Schizosaccharomyces pombe: one gene and its partners. Changing the gene in region 1 together with any one later gene gives a genetic interaction. Each region holds a gene or a part of one and is shown in the gene's direction. Other genes may lie near its edges.

Region 1 (10,837 bases):
GAAATTGCAATCCAATTTTCGTCACAGATATTAATCAGACGAAGGGTAAAATACTCTGCTTAAAATATGAATCAAGATTGAACAATCTTAAGAATTTTATACATGTGTAAATCTTCAAATAATATCAGGAAAAAAAGAATATGTAGAAGGAAGTAAACAATTTTAGCCTGTTGATTTGTAAATTTATTTTTTTTAATTCACACTTCGAGCTTTAACATTAAACAATTATGTAGTTAATTACATGATATTATTCTGTTTTTGATACGTTGCCTTAAACAACAATTATTGTAGAGGCACCATGTTAGGTTAACCTCGTCTTTCCCTGTATATGAAATTAGCCCGCTCACATATTGTCTTTAATGATTTTTTTGGATGTATGGATCTAATTTATATACTGCGTTTTAATCATACATTATTTGATTTTTTATCTTTTTATAAAGCAGTTTTACTCAATGACTTCAATTAAAGTAGTGTGCCGAATTCGGCCCACGAACCAGTTGGAACAAGACCTTGGAGGAAATAATGTGATATACCCATTAAACGATTCTACTGTTCATATCGAGGTAGGTTTCAACAATTGATCTTTACTTTAGAATTCGGCTGACATGATTAAAAGACTAGTGATTACTCAGGAAACTTTGTATTCGATCGTGTTTTTCATCCTTCTAGCACTCAGAATGATATATTTTCGTATTCAATTGAATCGACAGTCGATGGTATGTGAATGATAGTAAAACTTTACACGGCGTTGAACGGATTAATTTCATCGTTGTCAGCAACAGCTTGTATGAAATTATAGCATAGCCTTTTTTTATATGCGCTCGTTTTGACGCTTCATTTGAAACGAATTGCCATTTTAATACATTGTTCGAATCACATTCAAGTTGTTCTGAATTTCATTAAATATGTACTAATATATTATAGACTTATTCTTGGGTTATAACGGAACAGTACTAGCCTATGGACAGACAGGATCCGGCAAAACATACACCATGATGGTATATTCACAATTTCACCTGGCACACTTTTCTAACAATCTTTAGGGTATTGAAAATAATTTCGAAAAAGAAGGAATGACTCCAAGAATGCTCAGGCGTATTTTTGACAAAATCCGCGATTCACCATCTACTACTGAATACGAAGTGAAGGTATCATACATGGAAATCTACATGGAAAAAATTCATGATCTACTTTCCGGTAAGCCTTCAAATGCCGTAGAAATTTTGCGACGTTCGTATTTAATTTCAGCAAAATTAACCATGATTTACAGAAAAAAATGACAGACTGACGGTTCATGAAGATAAACTTCAGGGAGTTTATGTTCAAGGTTTAAAAACGATTTACGTATCAAGTGAAACGGAGGCATTGGATATTTTAAATAAAGGTATGGGGTCACGTGCCGTTGCAAGTACGTCGATGAATGCGCAAAGTTCACGGTCTCATTCTATTTTTGTACTCGAAGTTGTCCAAACGGACACTGAGTCCGGCGAAACTCGACGAGGCCGGTTGTTTTTAGTTGACTTGGCAGGTTCCGAAAGCGTAGGAAAAAGTGGAGCAGTCGGGCAAACCTTAGAAGAAGCAAAGAAAATAAACCGTTCTCTTTCAACTCTTGGAATGGTTATTAATTCTCTCACAGACAGCAAATTATCACATGTTCCTTATAGAGATTCCAAGTTAACGCGTATTTTAAAAGAGTCTCTTGGTGGAAATTCTCGGACCACTCTAATTATTAACTGTTCACCAGATTCATACAATGCAACAGAGACCTTATCTACTCTTAGGTTTGGACATCGTGCAAAGAGCATCAAAAACAAAGCGGTAGTAAACTCAGAACTTTCTGTTGATGAAATGAAAAGACAGCTGTATATTTATAAAGATGCTTTGTCTCGTTGCGTTTGTGGAGCCAGAATTAACAATAACTTAGACTATAATAATTGTCATTCTAACGTATGGTCAGGCGAGCATTCCCTCACACTGTCAAATCTCGCCGAAAAATCCAACTTAAAGGAAGCAGAAATCATTCAAGGAAATAGAACAATTCAGGAAAGTAATAATGACAGAGACGAAAGCACAGTTGCTTCGATACACAGACATAACTTTGATTCTGATTCTATCAATCGTTTGTATGCTGAAGCACAACTTGAACTTAAACAACGAGATGGTGTTTTATCATCCACTAAACAGCAATTGTCAGACCTTATGACTGCATTGGGCGATGCTCAGGAGCGGTATGTTGAGCTTGTTAAAAACCACAGAGTAAATTCAAATCTTACTGCAAACAACTCATTAAATGACAAACCGGGTTTTACAATAGAACAGAAAGATAAAAATTTTTCGATAAATAACGAGAGAAACAATTTTTTACAAAAACTGAGTACTTTGGATTCCTCACTGGCTGCTCTAGTAAATGTTCAACGAAAATTGATTAAAGCTTTAATTTCCAAAGAGCGACCTCAAAATGGAACAGTAATTAAGAAAATTCAAGGGGGCACTTAAAAGCTACACTTTTTTACTCTGCTTTGCGAAGGATTATATATGTTTAATTAATTTCTTTAGAGTTGTTGAGCTCACATTTAATCATGAAATATTGCATCTCGTCTAGCTGCTTTCTGAATAAACTAATTTTCTGACTAATTATTTATGCAGCTTCTTTTATATTGCTGCAGCATTATAATATAAAAGAAAACAGCTACGCAGCAATGCATTGTTTATATGCTTATTCAGCAAATGTGTAACATCTCAAATGATGATGTAATAACAATTCAATAAAAATTTACCGTTATAATATAATCAGCGAATTTAGTAATCTGAGACTACTATTCTTTAGCAAGGATTGACTATTGGCTAAGCAATCATTACCTTTTTTAAGCTACAACGAACTGTAGTTTAAGTGTTACTTGCGATGTATATAATCTTATGTAGGATGTTTATCGTAGATGGTAAAATGTTGTATCAATATAATTATGATATTGAATACACTAACATAACCACACATATATGGCTTATAACTGAAGTCAGGAAAGAAGGTTTGAATGTATCAACATAATGCATTGTTATAAAACTACTAGTATAGAAGATTTACACTAAGGATGGAAATACGGAGAATCATGAATATTATGAAAAGTTGAACTAACGCAGCACAGTATAGTGTAGTGACTTGTTTCTAACAGAACGATCATATTTACTAGCCACCAATCTTCGCTAAACAACATTTACGCGATCTTCAATATCCATTTACATTTTGCTAACACAACTTGTTGAGTTGTTTCATTTCCCTATTTCGAACACTTTTTACCAATCTTCAGTGCTGTAAAGTCGCTAGGAAAAAAGCGTTTTAAATGGTACGCTTATAATTTCCATTGCTGGTTGCCGTGGTCAAATAACTCAAATACATCAGTTTTTTATTTGAAACGATCTTTATAAGATAGCACTTTCTTTTTGGTAATTACAGTTGGAAACTTTGTTTTATTTAGTATCTATACTGGCCTGTAAATTTAGTCTAAAAAAATGAGGCCACCTGACGATCAAATCAACAATAACGTTGGTTCTAATTCTCACTTGGAAAAGTTGAAAGAGGTAAGTGATTTCAATACTTGGATTCTCCTTTTTTAAATATGAAATAAAATGTGATATCTCTTGTTACTTAATTAATTTAAATTACTAACGTTTGAATAAGGCCATGGACCACCAGCTGCAAAAATCATCAAAAATTGTAGGATCGTTTACTAATTCTCAAAACTCTTCTGTTGGCTCTGTTCATTCTCCGATACTTGAATCTCCCACCAGTTTAAATAGGCAGCATCGAAATTCATTTTCTTTCAATAATGTATCTTCTCCTTCACTAGAGGATGAGCGACTTATTAATTTTCCCCGAGTAAATCCAAATCGATTGATGACATCCAAACGTCCCAATGAGTTATTTAAAACCTCCTCAATGAGTTCAGATTGCTATTCTCCTCAAAAATCTAGGGAATCACTAAATTCATTATGCCATTCACCTGCTCCATCCGTTTCTTCTTGTGGAAATGCTTTGAACAACGATAATACTTCTGCTTCGCACTCACTAACTGATGAGCAACCATTTGAAACAGATTCATCCGCTAACTTATTTAAGCAGTTACAGGAGAAGCGTAACCGTACCATTGGAAATGTGTATGAAATGGCTTGCTTATTGGTCTTTAAAACCGGTTTGATGAATTTCTGGAAAAACATTATTGACTTTTTCGCTCAGCAGTTTTTTTCCACTCAAATATCTGTTGTAGAACCGCGTGACCTTTCTGACATATACAATACTCCTTGGCAACTCAGATGTTATTACGATGGCGGTTCCCATTATGATCCGTATAGTAACCCTATAAGTGTTAATGACAACCTTGCTAGCAGTTCTTATGTTACCGTAGTTGCTTCGGATGGTTCAAAGGGTATTATATACAAAGATCCAGCTTCTCTTAAACATGAAGGGGATTTGCTTATTGATAGCAAAGTTGTACAAACAGTCTTGGAGCGTGCGACATTGCTTGTATATACACGTAAACAACAGCACATTGTTAAAAACACCAAGGTTCATGATAATGATTACTTTAGTTCTATACCTAATGTTGATGATATTCGCAGCATTAAGAATTCATGGAAAGTTTTTCATGATGAAAAACTTAATGAATTGAAAAAGCAGGTTGAAATTAGTGCTTCTGCAGCTCAGTTAAATGGACTTTATCCACAGAAAAAGAGAGCATTTGTTTCACATTTCAGTCAGAATCGTAAACCGTATTCCCAAAGTGACATTTCAAAAGCACAAAGTTCGTCTTTTTCGGAAGAACCTTCAAACATTTATGATGAGTATGAACAAAATTTACTTTCTCCTTGGTCAAGATCTCCAGTTGCTAGTCCCTCCATTCAAACAGATCCTAATAGGAATCCATTCTTCCAAAATTGCTTGCAAGAATCTTCTTTCGCTACTGAATCGTCAACAGAGAAGTCTGCTTCAGAGTCCGTATCAGAAACAGCTGTTAATGATGATTGTAAAGGTATGAATTTTTCTGGTAACAGGCGTCAAGAAGATCATTTGAACGACTTCACCAGTTTTCCTACTGAAACTGCTGTCAGTATTGTACATGTTCCTCTGATGTTTCCTTGTTCGGATCAAACTTCAAGCCGTGGGAGAGCTCCAATTGCAATTCTTTCTTTCAAGTCCAATTTAGTTCCTTATCCGGAAAATTTAATAGCCTCCATAGAACGTTTGATACCCTTTATTTTTTCTTCATACTCAAATTCTCAATCTGTTCCGTTACTTCCTTGTCCTACACAAAGGCATCTATTATTTAACACGTCTAGCACTGACAATACCAAGGAGTTGAGTATGAGCGCGAGCTCCGAAAACTCTGATTGTCCTCATAAAGAAGGAGAGTGCGTAGGCAGCTTTTGCAATATCAATGCTAAAGGATCTTCTCTTAATAACATACCTAAATTGCCTAGGTTTGTACCAGTTCCTTCTGAATTTTTTAAAAAAAACCAGCGATCATGGGTTACTTTAAAGAAGCATCGTTTGCTAGCTAGATTGAAGTCTCGAATTAGCAAAAAGAATTCTAAAGTGAACGAGAATTTGAGATTCTCGCTAAATGATGGTGAAAATTATTCAAATGAAACTATTACTCTAAAGAAGGATGAAATTGTTTTAGATAAATCAAAATCATATGCCTGTTGCACTTCTGAATCTCACAAGTATGTGCAAGGGCATTGTGGTGGTCAAGCGCCTCCTTTTCCCTTACTAAAGGTTATAATTGATTCTATACCGGTTCATGTGTTTACTGCGGATCCGGGAAGTGGAAAACTCACATGGGTTAATAGAAAAACTCTTCTTTACTGTGGTTTAAATATGAATGAGCAAATAGAGCTACAATTTAGTCGAATTCATCCTGATGATCTGCCAAACTTTTTAAATGACTGGAAATCTTCATTATTCTCTGGTAGTGGTTTTTATCATGAAATTCGTTTGCAAAGGTTTGATAATGTTTATCGATACTTTATCTGTCGCGCGGTTCCTTTACGGGATTGCACTGGATCTGTGCTACATTTTTTTGGAACAATGACGGATGTCCATGATCAAAAGTTGGCAGAACGAGAACTACAAAAACAATCAGCTATAGCCGCAAATGAAAACAGCTACAGGTCTTTAGCTGAAGCTTCTCCTCAAATTGTTTTTGCCGCAAATGGTAAAAATGGAATTATTTATGCAAATGCGCAGTGGTTAAGTTATTCAGGTCTTTCACTGGAATCTTCATTGGGACTTGGGTTTTTATCTGCTGTATATCACGCTGATCGCAAGAAATGTTTATTGCCTGAATCTTTGGAGGGAACGTTTAATAACCAAGACGAAAGTAATGGTACCAAAACGTTTGCGGCGGAGATACGTTTTAGATCTACCGATGGTCATTATAGATGGCATTTGGTGAAATCTGTTTGCGTAAATAATTCTGCTGATACGTCTACTAATCTCTGGTTAGGAACTTGTACTGATATTCACGATCATAAAATGTTGGAAGAAAAGCTCCAAGAATCTAACATTGAAGCTCAAAGAATTGTTCGGAGCAAAATGCAGTATCTTTCCAATATGTCTCATGAAATTCGAACCCCTCTTATCGGTATTACAGGCATGGTAAGCTTCTTGTTGGAAACTCAAATGTCTGCCGAACAGCTGAGTTATGCACGTATTATTCAGCAATCAGCTAAGTCTCTTTTGACTGTTATCAATGATATTTTGGACCTTAGTAAAGTCAGAGCTGGAATGATGAAGCTAACTAGCCAACGCTTTTCTGTACGAGCTATGATGGAAGATGCAAACGAAACTCTAGGTACCCTCGCTTTTTCAAAGGGAATAGAATTGAACTACACGGTTGACATTGATGTTCCTGATATAGTATTTGGGGATAATATGAGAATGAGGCAAGTTGCTTTGAATGTGATCGGAAATGCTATTAAATTTACGAATGTTGGTGAAGTTTTTACTCGTTGTTCCGTTGAAAAGATTGATTACTCAACCAATACTGTTGTTTTAAAGTGGGAATGCATTGATACCGGTCAAGGGTTTAACAGAGATGATCAATTACAAATGTTTAAACCGTTTTCTCAAGTAGAGAGTTCTACATTACCAAGACATGGTGGCTCAGGTCTTGGATTAGTTATTTCAAAAGAGCTTGTTGAGCTACATAATGGTAGTATGTCCTGTCAAAGTAGAAGAGGCGTGGGAACGCGCTTTATGTGGACTGCAACGTTTACAATGGATAAAACTCCTCTAAAATTTGAACCCCCAGATGGTTGTTGTCCAGTCTGTTTTTGTCCATACGAAAAAAGCAAACAAAGCACAGAAGACTATTATTGCGCAGACGATGGAAACGATAAAAGCGCGACGAATTTTGTAAAATTGGCCGTAAATAAAGCAGATCCCGGAAGAGAAAGCAACCGACGTAAACTTGAATCGGACAAAAATGTTCAATCCAACAAATATGTGAATCCTTTCGCTTCTGAATCGGAATTTTGTCGATGCGGCGCATCTGCTGATCCATACACAGTTCTATTTTGGAGACTCTATAGAAACAAACCTTCTGGGATCAAGTTGGATAAAAGTGCTTTAGCCGTTGTTGTATCACACACTAAATACAGTAGTGAAGCGATTGGCAACATGCTTCAATCAATTATCGATATAAGCTCATTTAAAGATATCGTAAGGTATGGAAATACCTATGAAGCCTTTGAAGAATTGCTAGAGAATCCTATGCAATCCAAGGTCACCCATATTATATTAAATCTTCCGGACATAGAAGCATATGTTTTATTTGTCAAATCACTGCAACTTTGTAGTCTATACAAGGATACAAAATTTATTTTGGTGACTTCCACTCGACAAAAAGAATCATTATCTAAGATTTTTTCAGATAGCGAGGATTGTAATTCGGAAAGCATCCATTACGTTTTAAAACTTGTGAAACCATCCAAGTTTTTTCCATTATTTTATTCTGATTCTGAGGAAAAGGGGAAAATCGGTGCACTTAATGATATGACTCGAAAGGCTGCAATGGAGCAGAAGGCTGATGCTGAAACACTCCGATATAATCTGGCAAAGTCTGGCTTTAGCGTGTTGTTGGCGGAAGACAACATTATCAATATTAAGGTTATAAGCCGTTACCTTGAAAGAATTGGTGTCAAATTCAAGGTCACCATGGACGGTTTGCAATGTGTTGAAGAATGGAAACGTGAAAAGCCTAATTTTTACTCTCTTATTCTAATGGATTTACAAATGCCTGTTATGGATGGTTACCAGGCATGTAATGAAATTCGTAAATACGAATTGGAAAACGATTACCCTAAAGTTCCTATAGTTGCACTTAGTGCGAATGCTTTACCTCATGTTGTTTTAAGCTGCAAAGATAGTGGTTTTGATTCTTACCTTGCCAAACCTATTACTTTGCAACACTTGTCCTTAATCATATCTGGCATACTTAATTATACGAACCAATCAAAGTTACACAAATGATTTGATATTTAATCTTCACTCACTTTTGCTTGTATTTTTAGAAAGGATCTCACTGTTTTAATGCTTTTATTTTTACTTTATATTTTTTCTTTGTTTTGATCAAAAGCTTATTTAGTGCCTATATTTATTTAAATTGACAACTTCTTATTTTGAATATTTTCCAAAATAATAATTATCTAAGCATCTCATATTTTATTTTATTAACTTTTTAATGCATTTATATTTCCAGCGCCCAGAACCAGTATAATAATATTAAATATCACATATTCCCCTTGTTTAATGTAATGTGTATTTTATTGGCAAGTTAAAAAAAAAATTGTATTGTGTGCTAATCAATCAGTTTTGAAATACAAACCAAATTAAAGTATAGGAAGCAGTCAAATAATCAATTCGAGGATACATTCTCATTGTTAAATGCAAACTTTAGGTAATTCGTAATTAGCTCTTGTAGCTCAGTGGTAGAGCGCTTGCCTAGTAAGCAAGAGGCCCAGTGTTCAAGTCACTGCTGGAGCAAATTTTTTCCCTTACCATAAGCGTAAATTATGCTACACTTCACTATGCATCACTACATATATTTGTTCACTGTGTAGACAGGATTTTTATTCTAATTCCAAGGGGAATGCTATAAGCCAGTCCAGAAAGAAAAAACAAGTTCTTGGTTGGTATCAATACCTTTCGTCGTACAAAGTATATTTAGTTCAATTACTGGCTTTGCCTACAACCGATTAGATAATGCATCAATACTTATACTACGTTATATAGTATTACTATTTTACATGTCAGCAATACTACACTAGCTACATGTAAGCTACGCAGTTTGGTATCTGATTTAAGGATACGTAGAACTGCGGTGAGTTTTCCTTGTGGTCTATTATATTACAATACACAGGTTGTATAAGTAGCAACTGAGTATAGGTATTGTATTAACTGGGTTATAATGTTACCTATCACTAATATAGCTCATAACTGAACTGAGGAACGAGGTTCAGTTGTAACGCTATTTATAATATTTCTAAATAGTTGTTATCAACGGGTATCTATGTATATAGACGGATAGTTACCCGTGATTATCAATAAACGGATCTTAGCTAGTATTCCAACATATGACATATAGTGATACGCAACGTAATGTATCATAGCGTAGTGTAGTATTGCTGACACTACAGTTGTGCAACACTCACTGTATGCCATATGTTAGGATTTTAGTTCAATCCGTGTATTGATAATTGCCGATAACCACCCTTTTATTAATTTAAATAGACTCCCACTGTTATGAACCATTAAAAAGATTATAATGAAGCCACCACTAAACCTCGTTCCTTAGCCCAACTATAAACTATTTTACTAATAGGTTACATTGTAACCCCAAATTTAGAATATCTTTAACGAGTTGCTACTTATTTTCCTGTACTACTGTATAAGTCGCAAGGAAAACTCACTGCAGTTTTTCGTATCGTTAAAATAGTTATTAAACTGCGTAGCTGGCAATTAAAAAATCACTGCGTTAAATGTTGAAGGTGATGAAAACTCGACTAACGAAATTTCTGTAAAGTAAGTTACTTCCCTTACCTACCTTGGCAATGCCTGCTTTATTAAAAATAAATAAAAAGAAGAATGGACAGACTAAAATAGACAGACTGTTTAGCAAAAGGAGAAAGACTTCTTTAGCAATTGAAAAAAACCACTCTAAAGCATCTATGTGTACTGGTCAATCACCATTAAACATCATTTCGTACAATGTTCCTCCATTGATTGTATTAAGAAACAAAACGATACGAAACTCTATAGAAGTTTTAGTTGAGGAAATGTTTCGTGACATTCAAATGCGCCAGCAAACGAATGTTTTAGTTGCACAGTGTCCGCGAATGATTGTGGAAACACAGTTGATAGGCTTATTTCAATCAAACTATACCAGTGTTGCTGAAGAGTTAGAACAATCTATACGTACAGGAGACATCCGTCGTCTTTACCTAAATAGATCTGACAAGTTCTGTGGTGAGTCTTGCTTAATTTTGCGACCTGAGTTTGATAAATTATTTACATACTATTTGTGCAAGTTCAAAGATCAGGAACATATTTATACGCTAATCTTTAAGTTGCATAAACTATTGATTGAAAATCCACTACCTTCCTACACATCCGAGGAGTTGAAATTTAATTGGGAGGAACGACGACTGCTGATTAGTATGGGCTTTCTTATTCTTGCTGGCACTGACTCTTACGGAATCTCATTACCCAACCTTGGCATTTTTACTCATATTTTGCGTAACAGCAGAAACGACTTGTCAAATTATTTAAAAAAGAGGCCGT
Region 2 (5,228 bases), on another chromosome or scaffold:
AATGCATAGTCAACACCACCATCAGTCACATCAATAACATACTGTACGAGGTCTTTAACTTTAGAAGAATCGATAAAGTCAGTAGCACCAAATTTCTTGGCATATACTTCCTTATCTGCATTGATATCAATAGCAATGATTCTCGAAGCACCAGCTGCAACCGCACCCTGCATTGCAGCGAGACCTACGCATCCACATCCAACAACAGCTACCGTTGAACCAGACTCAACCTTAGCAGAGTGTGTCACAGCACCAAATCCAGTTGTGACACCGCAGCCCAACAAGCAAATACTGCGAAGAGGTGCGGAGTGTGAAATAGCCACAAGCGAGATATCAGCTACAACTGTGTATTGACTAAAGCTAGAACATCCCATGTAATGAAGCAACGTTTTATCGCGACAGGAAAAGCGACTAGTACCGTCAGGCATTAAACCTCGACCTTGTGTTTCACGAATTTTGGAGCACAAATTAGTTTTACCACTACGACAGAATTTACACTCTTTACATTCCGGAGTATATAGCAAAATAACATGGTCTCCAGGACGCACGTTGATAACCCCTTCGCCAATGCTTTCCACAATACCAGCACCCTCATGACCAAGAACAATAGGGAATGCGCCTTCTGGATCTACACCAGACAGCGTGTAAGCATCTGTGTGACAAACAGCACTCCAATCGACTTTCACACGAACCTCATGAGCTTTTGGAGGGGCAACCTGAATACTGTAGTATCACCTCCCATTCTGCCCGTTGATGAGCAGAAGAGAAGTCAAAAGTTAGTAATAAAATTCAAGTATAAATTCTTTTCCTTTTGTCATCATTATACTTACTCCTCTATAGATAAAGGTTCCTTTGCACCCCAAGCTACGGCTGCCTAAAACGAATGTTATTAGTACACAGAAAGAAAAAATAAAAGATAATTATCCATATACTCATGGATGAACAATAATATCAAAAGTAAACCTTTGGTGGACTTACAGCACCAATATCATTTACACTTTAGACAATGATTTACGTTTTCTTTTTCATACCTTGCAAGTGATCGTTTTACCTTCGAAAGACATGTTTCATTAAAGACTATCTCAGAATGTGTATTTGGTAGAAAGACTGTTACAGTTTTAACATTTAGGTCTACTTACTTATTACATATGCTTACTACTAGATAGGTCGCGACTCGGATGAAAATTGTCGATCATCGTCGATCTTGTATCTCAATAGTCACTTGCTAGATAGAGAGATATACATACAAAAATAAAGAATCAATATTAAAAAGTACAATTTAAAATACAGTGCTAGCATAGAAACATATGTTACGAAAACATTAGTTTGTTTATAATTCAATACTTGAAGCCTTCTTCTACTAAATGTTATTTTATATGATTGTTTTTTATTTTTATTTTTTTTTGAAAAATACTTTAAATAATGAGGCTTCAAATCATTAACATACACTGTTAAAGTTGAGTAATATAAATCTGCGTTATTAGGCAAGGGAATGAGAATGTTTCTATTCAATAAACTTGATGGAAATTCCAAAAGTTAATCGATAAAAATAATATTCTTAATATTTAATTTATTATTCGTACATGGGATTTACGATATAGTACAAGACCATGGGCTTCCATATAATTCAGTTACGCAGCTCGTTAATTTACATTATGTATCAGCTCGGCTTAATTAAATATTTCAGACAGAGAGAGTTGATATCAGCTGCACCTACGTTTAGTGCTAGCCGTCTTTTAAAGTACGAAGAAAGCCCTGTATCTGGGTTCAATATAAATTCTACTTCTTTGGTTTTTTTGGTCTATTCTTTCTTTTGGTTATCTTCTTCTGGGATTATTTGATACCATGGGCAATTCACTATTTAAGGGGTTTTCAAAGCCATTTAGTCGGTTGTTTTCTAACAAGGAAATGCGTATCTTAATGCTAGGTCTGGATGCAGCTGGAAAAACGAGTATGTTTTTTATTCGGATGGATTTTTACAGTCTTCATTCCGTATAATCGTGCTTAACTTGGTGTTTTAATAATGGTAACTCTTTTATTAACATTTTAGCTATCTTATACAAATTAAAACTCAATCAAAGGTAAAGAGCACTAAACAGCATTCTTCGATTGTGTCAAGGTATCGTATGCGCTGCTTCTGTATTAGCATAGTAGATATAGATTTCATTACGAAGACTGTTGGTTAATTAATCAGTGAAGTCTACTGTCGCGCATTATCTTGAGTTGCAATTATGCTTCCGTAAATGAAATTGATTTTTCTTGTGTTCATTAACTAACAGCCAGTGTTGTCACCATTCCCACTGTGGGTTTTAACGTCGAAACAGTCACTTACAAAAACATCAAGTTTAACGTTTGGGTATATTTATAATCAATCTTGGGTCGAGCATGTTCTAACGTTGATTTGTTTGTAGGATGTTGGAGGTCAAGATAAAATACGACCTTTATGGCGGCATTATTTTACTGGAACCAAAGGATTAATTTTTGTTGTTGACTCTGCCGACAGCAATCGTATATCAGAAGCTCGTCAAGAATTGCATCGCATTATTTCAGATCGTGAAATGCGGGACTGTCTTCTTTTGGTGTTGGCTAATAAACAGGATTTGCCTGGAGGTAAGGTTGCGAATCCGAATAACTTATGCTAACACTATGGTAGCTCTTTCACCTGCTCAAATTACCGATGTTTTGCAGCTAGACAAATTGAAGGATCGTTTATGGAACGTTCAGCCAACATGTGCTCTTACAGGAGACGGGCTGTTGGAGGGTCTGGCTTGGCTAAGTCAAAACGCAAAGTTAAAATAATTTGCTTCTTTGATTTGTTAATACATGGTGTTTATTTCGTTCGTTATCCCAAGAATTGCAAATAATTACATCGATCAGCTTCCGTTCTATCCCTTTATCGTTGCTTAATTAAATCTGTACAGTCTTTACTATTCATTTTCTTTCTTTAGCATATAACTTTACTATTGCCAATCGTTTCCCTATTCCTACTATCACTTTATAATGTGCTTCATTCGGCCAAATACATTTGGATAACAGCCATTTTTGTCAATAAAATATTTCTTAATTTAATACAGAAAAGTGATCAATAACCAGATAATATAATTATCGCACACTTCTTATCCAACAAAATCTAAAACCAGTTATTTTAAGCGAAGTCTCATGATATGTATCCAAAAACATCTAGACAAACTTGATTTAATGTAGACAAGTTAAAGTTCTTTTACGGCGTTTATAAATGCCTTGATCTTTTCAAGATCTTGTTTCCCGTCAGTCTCCACCCCACTCGATACATCGACTACAGCTGGGCGGCTAACAGATATAGCATCTTGTACATTTTTAGGTGTTAGACCACCAGCTAAGACATAAGATACTGGAATGAAAGATGCAGCTTCCCAGTCTACTTTCTTGCCTAAACCTCCTGACTCTCCACCGACATATGCATCAATCAAAGGTACAATATGATAGTTGGGCCTTGAAATTTCAGAAGAATTTAGCGGAAACACCTTAATAACAGGTCTATCGAGCATATGTATCCATTCGAAAGGTTCTTGTCCATGAAGCTGGACAATATCCAAGTTCACTTCTGCTATTATAGAACGAATGTATTCTAATGGTTGATTTTGGAACACACCGACTAACAAAGGGTGCGGAGAGGAAGCAAGATTTTCATACTGATGATCAAACCAACTTTGACCAGTCACTGCTTTCTTTGGGGAAATGTGTTTTCTATTGGTTGTATGAACAAAATGTGAAATTTCCTTGGCCACGGACAAGTCCACTTTTCGTTTGCTCTTTTCCACAAAAATTAACCCTATCAAATCGCCTCCTGATTCTACAATGGTTTTAGCAGCTAACAATGAACGAGTACCACATACCTTCACTAGGGGTGTTGATGTTTTTTTACCATTAGATATCTCGCTAGAAGAAAGATTAAGTAACTCTCGTGCAAAAGCGGCAGGATCCGAAGCTCTCATAAGAGATTCACCAACAAGAACTGCTGATACACCTTGACTACTATAATGGGCAACATCAGCAGGACTACTAATTCCACTGAGAGCTGCAAGAATAACATCATCTGGGACCATTTCGGCTAATTTTGATGTAGTGGAAAGGTCTACTTCAAAACTATGCAAATTCCTGTTATTAACGCCGATAACTTTAGCACCAAGTTCTATAGCAGTCTTCATTTCCTCAGCACAGTTAACCTCTACTAACGGTTCCATGCCCAAAGATTTAGAAAATTTATAGAGGGACTCTAATTGTTCACGGCTTAACATCGCAACGATTAGCAATACACTATCAGCACCATTCAAACGAGCCTCCATAATTTGATAAGGGTCAATAATGAAATCCTTTCTCAAAATTGCAGGCCGATTAGCTACATGCTCAACAGCTTTTCGCGCAACAAACAAATCATTCAATGAGCCTTTGAACCATTTTGGTTCTGTTAACACAGATATGACTGAGGCGCCAACCTGAGCATAAGTAAGAGCTTGGATAGCAGCATTTGCGTCTAACTTAATGTCACCTTTAGAAGGGGAAGCACGTTTGACTTCAGCCATTAAAGCTGGTTTAGATTGCTTTAATCTCTCATAAAAATTTATACATGGAGGTGCTATGTTAAGGTTCAAATATGTTTGCAAATCACCCACAGAAAGACCAGGCTTTCTTTTACTTTCAGCAATGTCAATAAGTCTCTGCGCGTGGATTTTCTCAAGGATAGATTCTTGTTTGCGAATTTTAGTTGAAGAAACAGAATTCGAATTTTCACGCATAGCCGCGTTAAATGCGTTATTTTTTGTAGGCATAACAATGCCATTTTCTTCCCAGGTTCCAGCAGTGAGATTCAAAAAATTCTGAATATACTCTTTGCCATACTCACTAAGGATACTTTCAGGATGGTATTGAACACCCTCAATAGCATACTTTTTATGGCGTGCACCCATTATTACACCATTCTCGGTCCAGCTTGTAACGTCCAAACAATCAGGAAGTGATGAAATTTTTCCAGCAAGAGAATGATATCTTGTTACAGAAATATTTTGAGGTATTCCTTGGTAAAATCCGAGACCGTCGTGATTTATTTTAGAAACTTTTCCATGTATGATTTCACCAGCGGAATCAACTTTACCACCCATTGTCTCAAAAATACACTGAAGTCCCATACACACACCAAGTATAGGAATCTTTCCAGCAAATCTCGAAATAGCCTCGTTACAAATACCACC
Region 3 (6,731 bases), on another chromosome or scaffold:
CGCTAATGTGTATGCCTCACGATTTATTTTTAATGTATGATTAATTGCATATGTCTAACGTTATATACTTCTACCACTTATTTCTTTTTACCTAAACGTTTTGGATTTATTTTAGAGGATTCGAATAATCGCATGGGTTTGTTTGTTTTTTGGTGGACTTAAATGTTTTTAAGGATTTTTATCAAAATATTTTAATGCTTATTTACGGTTCATGTCTTACGATTGTATTTCTTATTGGCTTTTTTTATTCATTTTTCTCATTTTTTTTTTTTTATTTCTTTATTATTTTTTTTTACTAGTAATACTTTTGCATCGTTTAAAGGGAAAAGTTATGCCCTTATGTTTTTTTCAATAAAATGGATTATCAAATCATTGCTATCAAAATATATAAATAATTAAAAGTAAATTAGTTATTTATTCACGTCACTATGGTTGATACCTACCCGCTTAAAGTTCATTACTAAAATCTTTATTGTATTTCTCTTATTTTCTTCTGAACAGTGCAGCTTACCTCATATTTCAACAGTCAACGGCATCTGCAGTATTATCCTAGTATATTACAAATAACTAATTAAACATGTAATTTTCCATGAATATACTTCGATCAGTAGTTTCGAGGGGTCGAAAAGGCCTCAAACAAGAAAAAGTGAATCGTAGCTTTGCTTACTTAGATATGGTTTATATTACTTCCAAGGTAATTGCTATGTCTACACCGGCTGCTGGAATACATAAGTTATATCGAAACGACGAATTGGATGTATTTAAATATCTTACAACGCAATTGAAAGACAACTGGATATTGTTGAATTTATGTGCCGAAGAAACAGTTTACCATTTGGAATTATTTAAACCAAATGTCATAAATTATGGATTTCAAGATCATAATCCACCTCCGCTTCTCTTTTTATGGGCTATTGTTATGAATATGGATGCACTCTTTCAAACGCAACCTTTGTTGACATTGGTAGTTCATTGTAAGGCCGGAAAAGGACGTACAGGAACTGTAATATGTAGCTACTTGGTAGCTTTCGGAGGCTTGACAGCCAAGCAAAGTCTTGAACTATATACTGAAAAAAGAATGGTTCGAGGGCACGGTCTTACCATTTCATCGCAAATACGTTACGTCTATTATATCGAAATTTTAAAACAGTTCCCGAATTATTTGAAAGCTGTGGAATTTAATACTGGTACCACTTTTTTTAAAAGTTTTAAATGTTTGAATATTAAAAAAAATTCATCTTTGATTCTATCATTGCATGCCTTCTCTAAGGGACGAAACATAAATCCAGTTGCTCTGTGGAAGAGTTCAGATATATCATCCCATAATGTAAGCATAAAAGAAGGAAAACGTATATGGGGGATACAATGCAACCTAGAAACATCGGAGAAAGACCTTTTGCTCAGAGTCGAACGCAAGGGCCAGTTTTACTTTCCTTCGAGTGTGCAATGTTGGTTTCATACTCACTTTCAACCTATGCTTGTGGAATACACAAACGGGATAAATTTTCAACAAGGTATAAATTCCTTTCTGCAAGGACAACAGTCAATTTCGTTCTCCTGGTCTGAAATGGATAATAGCCGACGAAGTGACCCCTTTTTCGAACAACTGACAATTGTATATGAAAATGTTTTTTGATATTTTGTAAATATTATATTAGTGTAAAATAAAATGATTATTTGTGCAATTAGATCCTCCTTTCGATCATCGAAATAAACTCACATGTTGAAGTGTTTCTACTTCAGTAAATTACAGAGGCGCTTCAAGTTTTTTTTTTAAATTTTAAAAAAAACATAGGAGTTTGAGTTTAAGGCTTATACTCTAAGATTCGAGTTTGCAGTTACGATTTATGGTATTAACTCATCGTGGCTACATTACCGACATCCACTTGAATTGAGCTTGTCTTCCACCAACGCTTGTTAATCGCTGAATTGACTCTCATGTCTGGGATATCACTATCCTTGCGTCAATTGGATTATAGAGATTGGTTTCAGCGAAAAAGTATGCTCTTGTTTTGTTTTTGAATGATGCTAACTAGTTTATTAGTCAGTCGAGATATCTACGGCAATTCGACTTGGTTGACCGGTATAGATTTGCAGAAAGAATTAACTGGTCATACGGGATGTGTTAATACACTAGAGTAAGTGTTTTATAACAATTTGTTCTACAATGCTTACAATTTTCAGCTGGTCCGCGGACGGTGAATTCTTGTTATCAGGAAGTGATGATACAAGACTAATTGTCTGGGATGTTTTCAATGAATACAAGCCACGGCATTTAATATCTACTGGCCATGTTCAAAATATCTTCAGTGCGAAATTTGTCCCATATTCTAATAACCGGCAAATATTGTCTGCTAGTGGTGATAAGCTTATTAAGTTGTTTGATTTAGATTCAAGTAAAGAAGGAGGAATGGATCACGGCATGGAGACTCAAACTAGATGTTGGAGTTGTGCTCTTGATTCTGTTAAAAACATCGTCCCTTGTGACAATGGTCATACTTTTCTAGTTTGCAGTGAAGATGGGACGGCTCGTCAATACGATATTCGTGAGCCACATGTCTGCAATCAAGATTTGGATTGTCCTTCTATACTGGTAAATTATAACCCATATCGCATCAATTTATACACTATAACCATGTCCCCTTCAAACCCTTATTATTTTGCAATTGGTGGTACTCATCCGTACGCGTTTCTATATGATCGCCGGATGGTTAAAAAATCTTTCCGGGATGATTGGACTATGAACACTTCTCCCGAAAAAGACTGCCGTTGTGTTCGTAAATTTAGTCCAGATGGCTCATGTAATTCCCAAGGTATCTTGGATCGTTATATCACTTGTTGTCAGTTTAGTGCTGCTAATCCTAATGAGGTAAGTCTTATTGCATGGGTGATCTCTAATGTTTGTTATAGTTGCTTGTCAGTTGGAACTCTGATTATGTATATTTATTCCATGTTCATGAAGATAAATCTTATACACCAACTTTTAATAAAATAGAGGATTCAAATAAAAAGCCGTCTAAGCCTTCGTTACTTCAAACACAGCCGCTGAAAAGGAAAAATTACTCGCCATGGTATAAGAATAACTTTGGTGCTTCTACTCCAGCTAGTAGAGTGTCAAGAAATCCGTATACAGCAGCCCAACCTCGAAAGCATACATTTTATCAGATGTATGAGAATATCGAAAAGTTTTTTACTACCGAAAATGGAGGACTGTATGAGAGCATTGTTAGCGGTCGTTTATCTCATTTTTCTCGCTCTATTCAGTACGTTAAAGACGCTATTTATTTCTTGGAAAATTATAATTATATTCCCGATTCAAACGGTTTGAATCATAGTATCCGCGTTAGTGCTTTACGTTATTGGAGAGCGTGTGTTTCTATTTTAGCGCTTATGGATGATACTGTGAGTTTGGAACCGAACACCATTATACAAGCTGGCTGGGGATGGTTGTATGATTTTATGAATTGGGTTACACGATATTTGTTAGGAATATCGGACCATTGGGCACTACAAATGTCTCCGCCTACGAACGTTGCTCGCCAAAACTTTGTTTTGTGTGATCCTGATGAACCATCTCGGGTTTTATTCTCAAATCCCTCTGAAATGATTAGGGCATTTGCTAGGATAGATACTAATGATTTATCTTCTGTAAGGCGGTTTTTTTGGATACATAAAGTTTTACGCGGTTGTCTTCTTCTTATATCCTCCGATATCTACTGGGAGCAATTTCAGCCTTGGGACAGCAGTACTTCTGACGTTACTTCCAGCCAAAGACTTGATGATGAAAACGGGTTCTTGACATTGTTGGAACCGCCAGTGAACTATGAAAATGAAGTTGAAAGTAGTTCGGGAGAAAATATTGTCAGTATGTATACTGGGCATTCTGATCTCAATGATGACGATGATGATTACCAGGATGAGGAAAGTTACTCCTATGCTAGTGATGATGATGATGAAAGTGATGAGGATTCGGATGAAGGTCCGACTTTGTTGTCTTTAAGAATGAAGAAGCGGAAAGCAGTGGAACCAAATGTGCCGGTGAACACACATGTTAAAAGTTATTATGGTCACTGCAACGTAGAGTCTATTAAAAATGTTAATTTCTATGGTCAAAATGATGAATATGTCATGAGTGGTTCTGACGATGGCAGGTTTTTTATTTGGGATAAGTTAAATGCTTCCATTCTTGCAATTATCCATGGCGATAGTGAAGCTGTTAACGTTATAGAAGGGCATCCCCGTTGTCCCACGCTTGCTGTGTCCGGTATTGATTCCACCGTGAAGATATTCAATACTGAGAACACTCCACCATCAGGTTGTTCAAGGAACCATACTTCCAATAGTTACAAAATAATTGCTACCAATGAAATGAATAGGCAGCAGGGGTCGCGAGATTCCTACATAACGAGGTTTGTTGAATACTTCTAATTTGCTCATGTAAATACTAACCGTTCTTCTAGTCGTATGTTGTCACATCTTGCATATCGTGCACATTTGGATGATGGGTTTGGACACGAAGTGCTCGATACCGATGCTTGTAGTATTATGTAACTGAGGAAGTTTTTTTTGAAGCTCACATTTTCTCTATTAAAACTATTTATGATTAATGATTAGACATTTTCAAGTAAACTTAATGTTGTGAAATAACTATATGATTTTACTTTTTGGGATAAAGTTGGGAATTTAAGCGAAGTAGTTAAAAGCAAGACAATTTCGGCATATTCATTTGGACAAATATTAAGTGCGTATGACTGCAGATGTTTAATAGTCATTTTTTATATAAGCTTTTCTTTAAAAGTAAAATATTAAATTTTAATTTTCTTGAAACATCGTCTTCAAAGGAAAACGGCAAGCATAGCAATCCCTCTTATTTTCTGTCTTCCGTCGATCGTCTACCTACTTAATCATAGTTTGAAGTTAAAATTGTTTTTAACGACATCATTTTTTTAAGTAACTGTTGTATTCGCATTACTCTGAAAAGAATTAATTCATACTTAGTTTTGATTAGTCATATAGTTCTGTTTTTACTTTTTAATTTCGCTTTCTTTTGCTGACAAAAATTAAGGCAGAATTTTTTACGCGAGATGACGATCGACTGATGTACGTTAGAAATGTTTGTTGTAACTTCCAATCTTAATTTTTTTTTTGTTTACATAAGCAACAAGATGATTTTGCACTTTTAATACTGCTTACTGAAACGACTTAGAATACGATGGATAATTGAAAGAAGGAATCTCACATAATTGACTAATCAATCAATATATGCTTACTTTACACTTAGTAAACATTCACGTTGATTAGGTAAGGCACGAAGGGTATATTAGGAGAAGAATGTAGCCAGACAATTGTACCAGCAAGTGTGGGCAAATAATCTGTCAAGTTTTTAATAAAGTTAACCGAGACCAAAAAATAGAACTAACTTTGGTTTTTACATACGGTCATTTAAATGGGATTTTTAAGGGAAACCGTTTTCGGCGAATTGGTCGAATACGTTTCTCACAACTCCAATGACAACGACTTAGAGAAACTGAGAGTATGGAAAGACATTAGCAAAGTAGATTCCAATGACTCATGCAGCTCGGAATCCGGCGATCTGAAGATTCATGAAGTTAATTCAGAGGGACACATTATTGTGCGATGGGATGATGCCAACGATCCCGAAAATCCCCTAAATTGGCCTTTGTGGGCAAAGCTTGTGGTGACTTTTGATATTTGCTTCTTAACGTTTGCGGTTTATGTGGGATCAGCAATTTTTACTCCAGGTATATCAGAAATGCAAGAAACGATGCACGTAGGAACTGTTCCCGTAGTTTTGGGATTGACTCTTTTTGTACTTGGCTATGCCATCGGTCCCCTAATTTTGTCTCCACTCTCGGAGATTCCACAAGTTGGTCGCCAAAAGATTTATGTTCTTTCTCTCCTTGTATTTGTGTGTTTACAGATTCCCACCGCACTGGGATCTAGCTTGGGCGTCTTATTACCAATGAGGTTTTTGGCCGGTTTCTTCGGCTCGCCAGCTCTAGCGACTGGAGGTGCTACTTTGGCAGATATTTGGCAACCATGGCTTCTTCCCTACTTTATGTGTTTTTGGGCAATTGGAGCCATCGGTGGTCCAGTTTTGGGACCGTTGCTTGGTGGAGCGATGGTCGTTGCTGAATCTTGGAGATGGCAATTTTGGCTTTTGATGATGATTTCTGGCTTTGCATTGATTGTTATCTTCTTTTTTATGCCAGAGACTTCTGAATGGCATATATTATATAAGAGGGCAAAGAGGTTCCGTAAGATAACTGGAAACGAAAATTATAGAACAGAGGCCGAATTGGCATCTTCCCATTTAAGTGTTGCTCAGCTTGCAAAGGAAACCATAATTCGTCCGATAATACTAAGTATTTCGGAGCCGATAGTATTGTCTTTAAATATATATATTGGGCTAATCTATTCAATTTTATATCTGTGGTTCGAAGCTTTCCCAATCCTTTTTACTAGCGTTTACCATTTTACCATTATTGAAAATGGCTTGGTTTACTTAGGTATTCTCGTGGGTGCCTTGATTACTTTAGCCTGCTATTTCGTATTCCTGTATAAAGTGATGATCCCAGCATTCATGGCCAGTGGTGGTGATTTTGCTCCGGAAGGAGTTTTGGTCATTTCATTTCCAGCAACGTTCTTTATTCCCATTTGCCTTTTCTGGTTTGGCTGGTCGGGAAGAGAATCGGTCCATTGGATTGTAC

What was found.
Region 2: mutations in mak1 (region 1) and arf6 together harm fitness more than expected from each alone (negative genetic interaction), as found in Schizosaccharomyces pombe (one large-scale study listed by BioGRID).
Region 3: mutations in mak1 (region 1) and iqw1 together harm fitness less than expected from each alone (positive genetic interaction), as found in Schizosaccharomyces pombe (one large-scale study listed by BioGRID).

Annotation. Positions count from the first base shown.
Region 1 is NC_003424.3:4,706,463-4,717,299, forward strand, and holds mak1 (phosphorelay sensor kinase Mak1), read left to right. Parts: upstream 1-3,246; 5' UTR 3,247-3,507; coding exon 3,508-3,576; exon of another isoform or gene 3,577-3,676; coding exon 3,677-8,527; 3' UTR 8,528-8,799; downstream 8,800-10,837. Other genes in the region: kinesin-like protein Klp3, read left to right, coding at 453-563, 617-716, 925-998, 1,044-1,197, 1,271-2,496; mug51 (variant protein kinase 19 family protein), read left to right, coding at 10,108-10,837. UniProt on the Schizosaccharomyces pombe protein: Involved in the control of the SAPK-dependent transcriptional response to peroxide stress. Also has a role in G2/M regulation.
Region 2 is NC_003423.3:4,374,012-4,379,239, forward strand, and holds arf6 (ADP-ribosylation factor-like protein Arf6), read left to right. Parts: upstream 1-1,717; 5' UTR 1,718-1,845; coding exon 1,846-1,951; exon of another isoform or gene 1,952-2,050; coding exon 2,051-2,081; exon of another isoform or gene 2,082-2,283; coding exon 2,284-2,356; exon of another isoform or gene 2,357-2,411; coding exon 2,412-2,610; exon of another isoform or gene 2,611-2,653; coding exon 2,654-2,799; 3' UTR 2,800-3,166; downstream 3,167-5,228. Other genes in the region: fmd1 (glutathione-dependent formaldehyde dehydrogenase), read right to left, coding at 1-723, 831-874, 1,032-1,064; trp1 (anthranilate synthase component II), read right to left, coding at 3,210-5,228. UniProt on the Schizosaccharomyces pombe protein: GTP-binding protein that functions as a molecular switch for the activation of 'new end take off' (NETO), a process in which the directions of cell growth change from a monopolar manner to a bipolar manner in fission yeast.
Region 3 is NC_003423.3:3,161,234-3,167,964, forward strand, and holds iqw1 (WD repeat-containing protein), read left to right. Parts: upstream 1-1,906; 5' UTR 1,907-1,938; coding exon 1,939-1,999; intron 2,000-2,044; coding exon 2,045-2,138; intron 2,139-2,184; coding exon 2,185-2,869; intron 2,870-2,910; coding exon 2,911-4,409; intron 4,410-4,460; coding exon 4,461-4,551; 3' UTR 4,552-4,669; downstream 4,670-6,731. Other genes in the region: phosphatidylinositol-3,4,5-trisphosphate3-phosphatase Ptn1, read left to right, coding at 590-1,636; plasma membrane spermine family transmembrane transporter Caf5, read left to right, coding at 5,447-6,731. UniProt on the Schizosaccharomyces pombe protein: Ligand-dependent coactivator of nuclear receptors that may function as a substrate receptor for CUL4-DDB1 E3 ubiquitin-protein ligase complex.